Linked DNA regions of Caenorhabditis elegans. The protein of the gene in region 2 interacts with the protein of the main gene of each other region in a pairwise test. Each region holds a gene or a part of one and is shown on either strand. Other genes may lie near its edges.

Region 1 (6,752 bases), about 12 Mb from region 2:
GGGTATATATGTGGGGCTGTCTATGTCTTCATTTTCCCACTGCTCTCTGTCCACTCGCTCCACGTCCCCGGCTCCCTCTCTCGTTTTCTTCAATTGGCCATCAAAATTCGTGGAAGACGAAAGAAAAGAAAGAAAAGCGAGAGGAGGAATAAGAAAACGTGGAGTAAGCCAGGAGACCTCCTTCTCTCTTTATCTGTCTCTCTAGTATGCATTTTCTCGAGCAGGCTAGTAAATTTTTTTACTATTAGAAGGTGCCTCACATAGATATTTCCCATTGTACTGAGTTATGGTTTTAATTGTTTCCAATGTTCTTGTGAAAGTAGTTTGGTTGAAATACGGAATTGAATTATCAAGATATTTAACGAGAATTGAACTGTTTTTTTTTTCGGCCATTTTCAGTAGATTTCATTGGATTTTCTTAGAATTTTTGTACCTTTTCATCTGAACACAGCTTTTTTCAAAAATATATAATCGCGAAACGCGCTAGTTGGTTTTTGGATTGACTGACATCATCCCACTAGCGACAGGACAATTTTTAACCTAGAAACACTGATGGCACTTTTCGTAAGTTTTGTAAAACCTTGAGATTTCGGCAACAAAGCCGCCAATTCCCGTCTCCTGATTTGAAATTCATGCACTCTTCTTTGGTCCTGGCAGAGTTCAACTCTAGTGTGAACTACAAGTTGAGTCCACCTGAACTTTTGCTCTTGCTCCATTCCTTTTTCGTTTTAAAATGTAGGTTCATACAATAGCTTCTTAATTAGAATTCAGGATGTCAGTAATAGATTCCTGTGAAAGACTCTGTCAAGATAATTTTTAGATTCTGAAAGAACATTCGGAATATAGATAAATTTGTATTACGCATGTAGAAAATGTATACTTTAATTGCTATTAACTAGGGATTCTCTGATTTGCTGCATAAATATTCTTTTGGAGCTTTTATGTTAACTTTTTTCATATTTTAAACATTAAAAATGATATTTTCTTCAAATTATCGTCTTTTCATTAAAAAATTTGTTTAAGATGACCACAAATCAGAACAATAGGCCACGATATATGGGTAGGTTTGAATCGAACATTAAATTTGATAAAAAATACGATAGGTTTTACTGAATTTTTTTTTGACAGTTTCACAAATATAAAGTTTTAGTTTCAAAAAATGGGAAAAAAAATCATAAGAATCCCGAACTTTGCCTTAGTTGTTTTGTTTTCGTTTGCTTTGCATTTTCTTGTAAAAATCAAAAATTCTCACGGTAGCCTTTCAATTATTAAAAATATTTAAAAGTCGCATTCAATTTTTCAAAATTTGAAAAAAAAATCCTCCAACAGCAAAACGCCATTCCCCTTTTTCTCCTTCAAGTTTCTCCCTTCCTTCGCCATTCCTTGTTCCCGACGCTTTTTCTTTTTTTTTCCAATGCATAATTAGAACGACCTGGCTGCCATCAACAGACGTTGTCGTCCGTCGTTCACTTCTATTTTCCACCACCTCCGGCTCCCCAGCTCCTGTTTTCCACATTTTTCGCACCCTTCCAATGTCCGAACAAGACATGTTTTCAAACAAAAATTACTAGAACATCATCCATTCTCCATTTCTGCCCGTATTTTTCATCTCTTGTTTTCCCGTCATATCCTTACATCAAATTTTTTTTTCAGATCGGAAAAGGCGCTACGGGCGCCGTCACGACATGACTTAGGATGAGTATGCTATTGTATTATTTCGCGAGTGCTGTGAAGTCAATACAGTTTCACGTCGATGATGACATTATTGACAAGCTTAACTACTATTACACCACAGCCATTATCACAGGTATTCTTTTCTTAAATAAAATGTATCAAACTTTTTGATGAAACATAGCATACTGGTTTACAAAAAAACACATGAAAGAGAACCGAAAAGGTTTAAAATGAAAATAAATCTTCATGAATTAGTACCCATTAACCAAGGACCAAGGACTTGCTCTCCCTTTCATTTTGTTACATTTTTGATCAAAGATGTTTCCAATCAAGCATGTGTTTCTGAACCGTTGGGAAGTATTGAAATAGAAAAAGTTTGAAATAAATGTTTTGAAGGAGCTTGAAATCAAAAAATCATTTGATAAAATAGACATTGAAAAAGAAATTCAACATTAATTATGGCAATTTTGAAGCCATAAAAAAACACGTCTCTAGTTCATATTATCTATCTCCCGTTCTCCCATATAAATGAATTTTTCTCCAATAATTTCTTAATTTTCAGTGTTCGCGATTCTCGTCTCTGCTAAACAGTATGTCGGTAAGACCAAACATTTTCTATCATATTCTCACTGTCAACAAACCTTTTCTAGGTTTTCCAATCCAATGTTGGGTACCTGCGACGTTCACCGAGCCCATGGAGCAGTACACGGAAAACTATTGTTGGGTTCAAAACACCTACTTTCTCCCTTTACACGACTACATTCCACATAACTATGCAGAACGTGAAAATCGACAAATCGGGTTAGGCTCTGTTAATCTAAGAGTCTCATTAAAAAACGAACAATTTTTCAGGTATTATCAATGGGTTCCGTTTGTGTTAGCTCTTGAAGCTCTTCTTTTCTATGTGCCGACTATTGTATGGAGACTGCTCAGCTGGCAATCAGGTAGGTACTTCGATTGCAAAATAGAGTCTCCAATTTTACCAGTTACTTTTTGTATTGTAAGTATTAAAATAATAAAACGTGTAGTGGATGCATTTTGCAATTTGAACGAATTTGCATTACCTAAAAATATATCCAGGAAGACACATAAATATGTGACGTGAGGTCCGAAGCATCAGCCTACTACCAAATAGCAAAAAACAAAATTGTTGTTTTCAAGAAAAAAACGAAGAAAAAGCGTCAAGAACGGCGTGAAGAAGAAGAACAACAAAAATATCGCGGAATGAATGCGCGGGCCTTCGTCGATACTTTTCGCCTCAAGCGCTTCGAAGCTTTCCTCTCCTTCTCTCACCTCGAGGGAGTATACATAAATTTTCTTTTTTTTTGAAAGCTTCTTGCTTGTTGTTGTTTAGGACTAAAAATTTTTTAGGGAGCAAAAAAAAATAAAATTCAGGAATTCTAATATATAAGCTAAATAGGCAAATTTCAGGAATTCATGTGCAGTCTCTGGTTCAAATGGCTTGTGACTCCAGATTGTTGGATTTGGAATCGAGGAACAGAGCGTTGCAAACCATCGCAACAAATGTAGAAGAAGCGCTACACGTGAAACATCAAGTGGTATGAAAACTGTAAAACACAAGAGTACCCAATACGCACAAAACATTCTAGCGTCTTTGAGTCGCCCTGCTGTGTACCTTCAAGCATAATCACAGCCAATAATATTAATAATAATAAGAATATATGTAAACGTTTTTTACTTTTCTGATTTGCATTACTAACAGTTCAATTTTAACCAATTCAAGCTACATTCCGCAAAACATTCCGCAAAAAAAAAAATAGAGTTACCAGTTATCAATGATCGGGGTACACCTATTCTAGAGATAATCTGATTCAAAGCATTGAAGCTCCGTAAACCTAAGTTTTGAGATCTGAATTTTTGATGCTCCACACCCCTCTCGGAGAACTCCTTCAAAACTGAAAAAAAAACAACGATTTCTGAAAATTTTTGTTTATCATCAGATTTTTTCGGTTTTTCTTCTAATCTTATTATTTTTAATTTTACAGATGTCCGGAAATCGTCTGAAACTGCTCAACTTGATTATTTGCACACGATCTTCCGGTGCTGCTGTCACGTTCCTCTATATCTCTGTCAAAATTCTGTACACCGTGAACATCGTCGGCCAAATCTTTCTACTGAACACGTTTCTCGGTAACCGTAGCAAATGGTACGGACTGCAAGTTCTCAACGACTTGATGAACGGACGAGAATGGGAGGAGTCTGGTCATTTTCCACGTGTAACGTTATGTGACTTTGAAGTAAAAGTACTGGGAAACGTGCACCGACATACAGTACAATGTGTACTTATGATTAACATGTTCAACGAGAAGATCTTTCTGTTCTTGTGGTTCTGGTACTTCCTTCTTGCCGGTGCTACTTTGTGCTCGCTTTTCTACTGGATCTACATTTCAGTGGTGCCAAGCAGGTATGTTGATCATGTTAAAAACATTTTAAACATGACGAAAAACAAATGTGCACCCATTTGTCTCAATTAGCTTTTCAAAAAGTGAACGAAAGACTCATTCACGTAATGTTTTCACTGCAGGCAGCTCAACTTTGTTGGAAAGTATCTGACTGGAATCGAGGGATATAAAATGGTGGATTCGCAATCACTACGACGTTTTGTATTTCACTTTTTAAGACAGGTAATTTAACCTTTGGAAAAACCGAAACAAAAAATGAAGTGCGGCGAAAAACAAAAGAACTTCATGTTCAAAAATTTTAAATATTGGAAAAAGCTCATGGAATTTAGAGTAAGATAGAACAAATGAAATTTTAGAGATTTCTAAGCAGATTTTTTAATATGACAGACTTCGCATATTAGATATGCACCCTTCTTCACGAATTGACAGCTTTCATTGATTTTTTGAAAAAAATTTCAATGACTGTGAAACTACAGAAATATAGAAAAGAAACATACCGTATTTCTTCTATCGCGAAGTCATACAATAGGTTTTAAATGAAATACGACTGGGCAAAATTAATGAAAGCTGCAGTGCTAACTTTTGAGCTAGTTGTTGTTTTACTCTTAAAAAAACAAAACTGCAATTAAAATTTCCAAGAGAAATTTTAACTGCAATCCTGTTAAAGACGTATTTAAAACCACCGTGAGTTAGTAAAACAAATAATATACAGTAGTTAGAACTTTCCCGGTTCATAAGTTTTTGATATAACTATCAATAATGTCAACCAAATTATACGTATCTTGAACACCAATTAATTTTATTAGATTTGCACTATTGTGAAAAAAAAAGAAATAACTTTTACACTGACCGAAATTAAACCCCATTTCAGGATGGTGTTTTCCTACTTCGTATGGTTGCAACTCACGCCGGAGAACTACCCTGTTACGAGCTTGCGAAAACGTTATGGAACAACTACTGTGACAATAAAGAAGGAAAAATGCACGACGTGTGACACACCCCAACTTCGTAGCTTTTTCAATTTCTTCTAACACCAGTTCTCAAATTTTGATCATGAAATCTCACTTTCGAAAATCATAGAATTGTCGTCAATGGGTGTAGTCGTCTTTAGCTGATATTCTCAATTTTCTGTTGCTAGAAAATATCGAATCATCAACTGCATTTAAACATCCAGATCAATGGAAACTATTCACTTATCTTTTCCTCCTCATCATAATTCTCTTGAAAACCAAAACTAAACAATTTTGGAGGGTTTTAGAAGAGTGCCAAAACTTTTAAACTTTTGTATTGAATCAATTTTTAAATTTCTCAATTGAATACTTCAAAAAGTTGCTCAAAACTTTATCGATCCATTGTCATTTTCACCTCGAGCTTTTTGTCAATTTCACATTTAATTCAATTGTTTTCTAATTTTTTTTTTGTAAATTCTATTTACCAATTTCCAAATTTTCTATTATCAATTTATCAAAACTTTAATGACGCGGTTGTCTTTATGAATGTTCATAACTTTCAAATTATTATACCTAAATTTCCTCTAAAATTAACTCCCAAAAGTCTTTTGTAATTTTTTTCTCCAATTTTATTCCCTTTCCCCCCATCCTCCCACTTCTCCTTCCTTCTGTGGTTTCTTTCAAATGGCATCATGTCTTTTCAAATTACCTGGATTCACGTTTGTAATATAGATAATTTTTGTCCTTCCCCCCAAACTCACTTGATACAAAAATTAACTTTCTCGCCCTGTAATTCATATTTCTTCCAGTTTGTCTTCATCATCCACCTGCCAATGTTCAGTTTTCACCAAAGTTTTGAAAACGGAACCCACAAACTTTGCCATATTTTATTGTGGATTTGGATTATTTAATATTATTTGAAAATGAATAAAATAACAATTTTTCATTCTACTTCTCAGTAATTTTATAGTAGAGGAAAATAGCATACTTGCTTTGCAAATAAAAACAATTAAATAGAAAAGAAAAATGGCAAAATATATTTTTTTGAAAAACTATATAAAAACCGTCACAAAATTTACAGACATTTTGAAGGTTGTAAATTAATTAAGTTTTTGAAGAATGTTTAAATCTATTAGAATTCTTTACTTTTTTCACTGTCATTTTCGAAACAAACCTCACTTGCTCTGCAAAGACTAGAAGATCCAAAAACCAGGCTATTCAAAAAAACATCACAAGATGTCACAATAGAGCTATTGGAATATTCGATCCCAGTTTCCGGGGAAACAGTTTGCAAACACCAACCATCCTACGCAACTCATTTCTTCTTGTTTTGTGCTCGGTGTGTGGTCGAATATGTCAAATAATAATAGTTCCACTAATTCTACTGACACAAACTCTACAACAACCACTACAACAACTGCCGAACCAACTAATATCACTGATAACCTTTTACAAAGATGTTATGAAACAGTTTTATCAGATAACCAGAGCGATATAGTGAAGGTTTGAAATGTGTTTGAATACTTCCATTTATTTCTTTTTTTTTAATTTCAGTACCTTATGTATTTTTGTGGTGGCTGGATAATAGTATGGTGCTTAATAACTATATTGGTAAATATTTGCCATAAGTAAGTTATCTGATAGTATTTTTTCGAGTCGAGATTTGTAACATTTCAGGAATAAAGGGCACCAACGATATGTACAC
Region 2 (7,335 bases):
GAGTGGCTGGCATGTGGGCACGCTTTTCTTTTGGGGGCCTCCATCTTGCTTTTATTACTACGAGCTTTGTCTGCAAAACGAGAAACCACAACAATTTGGTTTTCTCACGCGAGTGGAGCCTTTTTCGATTCTTCTTTCTATCATTTTTTATTTCTTCTCCCACCCCTTTCCTCTTTTTTTTTCTCTTTCCTATTCATTTTCGATTCAATAGACTCTTAGGGTCCCTTTGCTCAAGCGCAACCGCAACATTGATGATCTTTCACTCGTTTTCCGCTCTTTTTTGCCACAGCTCCCCATTTCTTTCAAGTTTCTGTGAAATAGTTACATATCCTTTCAGTTTACATCTTGATCAACATGGATCAGCAATGTTTCCTAATTAAAAAAAAAATGTTTCAGTTTGCTTATTTTTTAAACTCAAAAATATAATTCTTGATATTTTGTGTCGCTGTTCAACGATTTAACTTTGCTTAAAGTAATATCAAAAATGAGATAATCTTCATCGTCATAAATTTTTTGAAAAACCTTTGTCAGAGATTGAAAATGGGTCAGTGCCAATATCATTTTGGTCAGTGCCTGTATCATTTTTGTCATTGCCATTATCATTTGTTCAGCGCATTTATCATCTTGGTCAGTGAAAATTACCTAATTAAATTTATTGTTTTCCAAAATAGTAATGCATTCAAATTGAAAATAAAGTGGTGATATTTTCTTTAGTATTTTCAATTTCAAGAAGTATGTATGCACATGGAGACCCACCTGCCAAATAACGAGAAGTTGCTTGCAAATTTGATTTTTTTTTGGATTTTTAGCTAGGAATTCATATGATTATGATTGCTGTAATTTTTTCTTTGCGTTTTCTGTTGGTGATATTGTTTTTCAGTGTTTCCAAGTTCCATACTCCTTTTTTCATATAAAAATGTTTCAAAAACATAACCTAACAATTTAGACTCTAGTTTTTCAATGCAGATTTGATTTAATTTCAGTACTTTCAAACGAACATTATCGTGATTTATGTTTTTCGTTTCAAAATTTTCGTTCTTATTTCATTCGCCGCCAAAATCAGTAAAAGTATCTTTAGTCGCTTAAAAAAGTAAAAGTAAAAACAGATTCATCCACTTTAGCCGTCAGCTTGAAAGAAAAAAAAATGCTATCCTCTTTCCTTCGTCAACTCTTCGTCCGTATTTTCTTCGCCTCTATTTTCTATTCTGCCTCTCTCAGCTTTTTCGCTCCGAAGCTCCCTCGCCAAAGTGGGTGGAGCATAGGAACTGCAGAGGGGTCCCCCTTCTTTCTCCCCTATTGAATTACTCTGAGCTGCGAAGCGTAGCTCATGGTTGCCCAAAGTCAATTCTTTCTCTCTAGTCAAATGGAAGTTTTTTTTCTTTTTTTTTCTTTCATCTTGTTCGTCTTTTGAAAAATGTATAACTGAAACATAATATAAAAATTAATTAAAATTCGAAAAAACGTCCTTCCCAATCATTTTTCAGGCACTGACAATATTTGAATTTGCACTGACAATATTTGAAGTTGCACTGACAATATTTGAATTTGCACTGACAATATTTGAATTTGCACTGACAAAATTAGTTTTTGCACTGACCCATCAAGAAACAGTTTATTTCTTATATTTTCCGTTCTTTTTTCTAAACTATTTTTTTTTAATTTTAACCGTCCTAAAAGTTTTCCAGGTAAATGTCAAACAAGGAAAGAACAGAGCCTCAGTGGGTAACGCCGTCGTCAAATCAGGTATCACAGCAAGTGCGTGTTTCACTCACATTTTTCAAACTCCCCCCTCACACGTCTAGTCACAAAACCCCTCCCTATCTGATCTGAGCATAATCCAAAAAAAATACTGTTGGCATTAACCATCACTCACATCTATTCTATCCACGCTTTTTGAGCATGCTTCTGCTGTTGAGCAGAGTAACCGTTCTGTAACTCACAATGTTGTCGCTTTGTTATTGTCTTCTTTCACACGTGAATATTAACGATTTGGGAATTGGAAAAAAAGGAAAAGGAAGAGAAAGGACTCGCGACACCAACAACAAAGAATTATTCTGAATAAGGGCTGTGACGAGCAGGAAGTAGTGTAATTTTTAATTGGACGGTTTTAAGAAAAGTGTTATTTTATTCATAAGTTCTTTTTAGTTTGTTCGATAGTTGAATTTCATGAATTTTGCACTTTATAGATAATAGTGCATATCAGGGCTGTTTTTTGTTTAAAAAACAAGTACTCGTGTATTAAAGATGGAATACAGTCAGTGGGAAATTGCTTTAAATACACTTAAAATGGCCATTATAATATTAAAAAACTTCAGACATTTCTTTAGATTTAAAAATTTTTAAAATCAACTTTTTAGTAAATTTCCAGAAGAAAAGGACTTTTTGTGAAATTGAAGAGTTTCTGCGAGTTAAAACAAAATAATTGAACTGTAATTAGAATACACAACTTACATTAAACAAAAATCATTTTTCGGGCGATTTTCAAAATTATGATCGGTGTTTGAGTTTTTACCATTTTTTGACTGCACATAAAAAACCAAACAAATTTCTTCCAATTTTATCATTTACTGTTTAAAAAAATTTTCCCACTGACTAAACTCCACCATTAAACATGATGTGATTGTTTTTCTTTAAACTATGAAATCGATGTTTCTAAAACGTTACAGTACACAAATACCAAAAAGTTGTGCCACTATAGTTTTTTAACTGAAATTTTTTTTAACTTTGAGTTTTATGTTTTCAATACACTTCAGTATTTTCCAGAAAAAAACTTACTCAAGCTTAATTTGTCGATTTTAAAATTTTCCAAAAAAATGTAAAACGATTCTCATTAAGTCGACCAAATCAAAAATGGAATTGGATTAACAGATTGAAAAAGTATATTTCCTTATTAAAAGCTTAGTTATTTTTTGTTAATTTTTGAATTAATGATACAAAATTTGGCTTTTTTAAGAAATATTTTCACATTCCCAAAATAAAAATTTTAAATTGAGAAACTTCAATTTTCAAATTTTCATATTTATTAGTTGTTTTTTTTTCTGTTATGGGTGGGATTCTAATTTTGCTTCTCATTCATTTTCCTTGGCGTGCAATTTTTATTTAATTAGCCATATGTACTTTTATACACGCAACAACAAGCACTTTATCAAAGGGCACGTCAAAAGTTCTCGCAAATTCTCAATTTACTTCGCTTTACGCTCAGAATAATTATTTTTCCCTACGGAGAAAAAGAGTCGCCCTGGGAAAGAAAGGGTAAGTGGGGGAGGGGGGTACATTTTAAATGTGCTCTTTTCTCTCTATCTCAGGCCAAGTTGATTTATGTCTCGAGTCCCTTTTCCTTTTCTTGAATACCCGAAGATTCCAATACTTTTTGCATTCCATCAAAATTTGGAGTAAAATATGGAATCGATATGGAAAAATCTTGAATATTGATAATTAACTTTGCAGGATGTGCCACCTGATTACGAGACGATTGGCACAATCTTCGGTTATGCGTTACAAGCTCTTTCATGGATACTTATTATTGTCACGTTTCCATTTTCCATGTGTGTATGCTTAAAGGTTTGTTTTTTCTTCCAATTATCTAATGAAAAAGTTTTTAATTTTTCGGGGAAAAATTTAAAAGAAGTTGAGTGTTTTTAAAGGTGGATTTGGTGGGGGAAACGAAACCCATAAACGCCGTTATTTAAAAAATGGTCAATTTAAAAATAGTCAGCTTTTTAATTTTTTCCCCCAAAATGGTATTGATTTCATTTAACAATTTGACATCAACATTAATAAAACATTAAGATCACGTAAAATTGTGCTAAAAACGAAAATTTTCACGATTTTTCTAAACTTCACATACTCGAAAAAAAAACTATGATAATTAATTGGCAAAACAACTTTGTATAAAAAGTTAGTTGAAAATCAAACACAACTTTAAAAACGTTTCTTGTTTACTAAATTCAATCAAAAATAATTTTCTGTGTAAAAAACGTTTGTTTGAAGTTTCAAAGCGTAGATTGTAACTTTTTCGATTTTTACTGATTTAACAATATTCAATTTGATGGAAGAGTATGATGATCTGATTATTTTGTTTTCTTAAAAATTAAGATTAACAAATATAATTGTTTAAAAATTTTTCTGTCTCACAGTTTTCAATTTTGTTCAATTTTCCCAACAAAAAAAAATCAAATGGCTAATTAAACAGCGCCCACTTTTTTGGGTTCTTAGATTTTTGGGTTTTTGGTTGTTATTTTCTGATCTAATGTAACGTAATGTAATAATGTAATGTAATATAATATAACGAAATAACTGAAGAAAAAAAATAGAGCCATTAACTAAATACTCCAAAAATGTGGGCATTGCCTCGTTCAGAGCAAAATACCAATTAACAATAAAACTGACCAATATTCTAATTGCCCTGACCAAAACTTTAATTGCACTGACCACAAATCTAACTGGATTAACTGAAAGTTTGAATGCACTGGTCAAAAATATTTTTTGCGCAATGCAATATTCAAACTGCACTGATTTTCTGACCTGGGCTCACTTTTAAGTCAAACAGCGACATTAATCAATTTTCTTTAAGAAGTAGAAAACTTGGGGTTCAAAGTTATTTATTGATTGTTTTTATTCAAAAATCTATCAAATTTTCAAAACACAATCGATACCTTTTTTTGGAATATATTAACTCCAAAAGTTCCTAAAATGATACATTAATGATTTCCAGGTTATCAAAGAATACGAGCGAGTTGTAATCTTCCGTATCGGTCGTTTGGTGTTTGGAGGAGCTCGTGGTCCTGGAATGATCTTCATCATTCCCTGTATTGATACTTATCGAAAAATTGATCTTCGGTATGATTTGACTTAATGTCTCGAAGAAACGTTTATGATTATTATTATTCTCATTTAGTGTTGTCTCGTACGCAGTTCCACCGCAGGAAATCCTGTCAAAAGACTCTGTGACTGTATCCGTCGACGCCGTTGTCTACTTCCGTACCTCCGACCCGATTGCTTCCGTCAACAATGTTGACGATGCCATTTACTCCACCAAACTGCTAGCGCAAACTACGCTGAGAAACGCTTTGGGTATGAAAACTTTGACTGAAATGCTCACAGAACGTGAAGCCATTGCTCAACTTTGCGAGACCATTCTTGATGAAGGAACTGAACATTGGGGAGTTAAGGTGAGATTTTTTTTCCCAAAAGTATAATAAACTGATCACTCAATGCTCATATTTGGGGCTCCTTCGCCAAATAATACTAAAACTGAGAAGCTCAATAAAAACAATTTCGTAACCCAAACAAACACACCGATTAGCCTCCAGAGAGTTAGTAGTTATTTTGGGGATAAACAAGTATGTTTTGTTGGAGAAATACCCAGAAATCTCGACGAACGGGTAAATATGATGGGCAGTAGTTTTAAGGGGTGGAAGTTTGACAAAAAAAAAAGTTTTTGATAAAGTTTCTGGTTTCTAAAATAATTACAAGAATGAAATGTTTTGCTTTAAGTTTTAATTGCACTGACCAAAACTTCAATTCTACTGTCTAAAGTTCTATTTGCACTGACCAACACTCTTATTGCACTGACCATTATTCTAATTACACTGACCACAACTTCAATTGCACTGACAAAATTTTGAATGCACTGTTAAATTGAAAAATTTGCGTAAAACAATATTTTAACTGAACGGACTTTCTGCGATTTGCCAAACTAATTCACACTCAAAAACTTCTTCTTTCTTGAGAAAACATTTATTTTTTGTCGCAAAAAAATATAGAAAATCTATCATGTTACTTTTTTTTTCAAATCTAGTCAATTTCATGTCTGACAATTCAAAGCCATCAATCATTCCATTACAGGTAGAACGTGTGGAAGTGAAGGACATCCGTCTCCCCCAACAACTCACACGTGCCATGGCCGCCGAAGCCGAGGCCGCGCGTGAAGCTCGAGCCAAAGTTGTCGCCGCCGAGGGAGAGCAGAAGGCGTCACGGGCTCTCAAAGAAGCGGCCGATGTCATTCAAGCGAACCCAGTTGCTCTTCAGCTTCGTCACTTGCAAGCACTCAACAGCATTGCGTAAGTTGCCACACTTCTCGAATAAATTTAATTTCGGTGAGAAGAGAGATGCGTGCTCTTTTGGATTGAATTTCGAATTAGTCACCAACTTTGAATTGTACCAATTTTTGAAACTATGGAAAATCGTAGAGGAACCGAGCTATCGCTAATCCAATTTTTTTCAGAGCTGAGCACAATTCTACAATTGTTTTCCCCGTACCTGTGGAAATGTTTGGAGCATTTATGAAAAAAGACCAATAATCATATTTTCCTTTTTTTCTCTATAAATGCTGCACCTTTTGAAATTTGGATCCCAGATAGTGCATTATTAATAGATCAATCATTTGTATTAATTCAAAGTCTATATACATACAATTATCTTTCAAATAGCCTTTATCCTACCAATACTTTCCTAAACGTTCTCGATTTGCACAAAAAAAAACCAGCCAAACAAAACACAAAACTCTCTAATTTCCCCCAAATTCCGATTTGCAACTGTCATTCAACCCGATCATGTATTTTCTGAACTTTTTTTCAAAATTTACGAAACTCTAGTTCTTCTTATTTTTCATTTATATATTCATGAATAAATCAGTTATTTATTATGTGAAAGTATCAGAAAAAAATTAAATTTTCTGTGAAATGTTCAGGAAAATATATCATGGAATTTTTGAATACCACAAATGAGCGGTATCACAAAACTAACAAAAAAAAATAAATATAAAAATAAAAAAACCGTTTTTTTTTCTAGAACTGTATACTTCAAAGGTTTTTGAGTTTTTGAAGTGTTTTTCTGGCAACAATCTAAAAACTTTTTCATCCTTGGTTAAGAAACTTAAAGTATTAGTGCAAAGTATAGAAAATTACAAAAACATTTTCCGGAATGGCATTAAAATTTTGGCAGGAATTCAAACTTCTTTAAAAAATTGTGGTCATTAATTCAAAAATTTCAAAAAAAAAGTATGGGTAAGAATTCAAATTTTTCCGAGAAGTTAGGACAGGAATTTTTTTCTAAAAGTGATTTTTATTAATTTGAGATTGCCTGAAAAATATTGATCTTGACATTTATAACATTGGAAAATTGGGATTTCTAATTATCAAAAGCTACTTATAAGCAATATGCTGCTGTCCGAGAACTTCATGCAAAAGTTCGCGAACCTGTCGGCTGCGCATTTGAATTTGCTGTAAACTTTTTATAAATAAAAATCCCAATTTTATATATCTGAATATCTAAAAATTTGATTTTTTACCAACATTTTTCATTTTATTCAATATCCGATAATCAAAATATTAT

The links.
Region 1: the proteins of unc-1 (region 2) and unc-9 interact in a protein complementation assay, tested with the Caenorhabditis elegans proteins (one study listed by BioGRID).

Annotation. Positions count from the first base shown.
Region 1 is NC_003284.9:13,210,737-13,217,488, forward strand, and holds unc-9 (Innexin unc-9), read left to right. Parts: upstream 1-1,653; 5' UTR 1,654-1,695; coding exon 1,696-1,807; intron 1,808-2,236; coding exon 2,237-2,272; intron 2,273-2,324; coding exon 2,325-2,475; intron 2,476-2,526; coding exon 2,527-2,618; intron 2,619-3,105; coding exon 3,106-3,233; intron 3,234-3,680; coding exon 3,681-4,099; intron 4,100-4,219; coding exon 4,220-4,319; intron 4,320-4,968; coding exon 4,969-5,091; 3' UTR 5,092-5,989; downstream 5,990-6,752. Other genes in the region: R12H7.4 (G_PROTEIN_RECEP_F2_4 domain-containing protein), read left to right, coding at 6,401-6,550, 6,602-6,675, 6,725-6,752. UniProt on the Caenorhabditis elegans protein: Structural component of gap junctions. Plays a role in maintaining gap junction activity to promote locomotion.
Region 2 is NC_003284.9:1,056,798-1,064,132, reverse strand, and holds unc-1 (Band 7 domain-containing protein), read left to right. Parts: upstream 1-1,679; 5' UTR 1,680-1,689; coding exon 1,690-1,755; intron 1,756-3,447; coding exon 3,448-3,561; intron 3,562-4,714; coding exon 4,715-4,839; intron 4,840-4,897; coding exon 4,898-5,171; intron 5,172-5,847; coding exon 5,848-6,062; intron 6,063-6,226; coding exon 6,227-6,302; 3' UTR 6,303-6,646; downstream 6,647-7,335.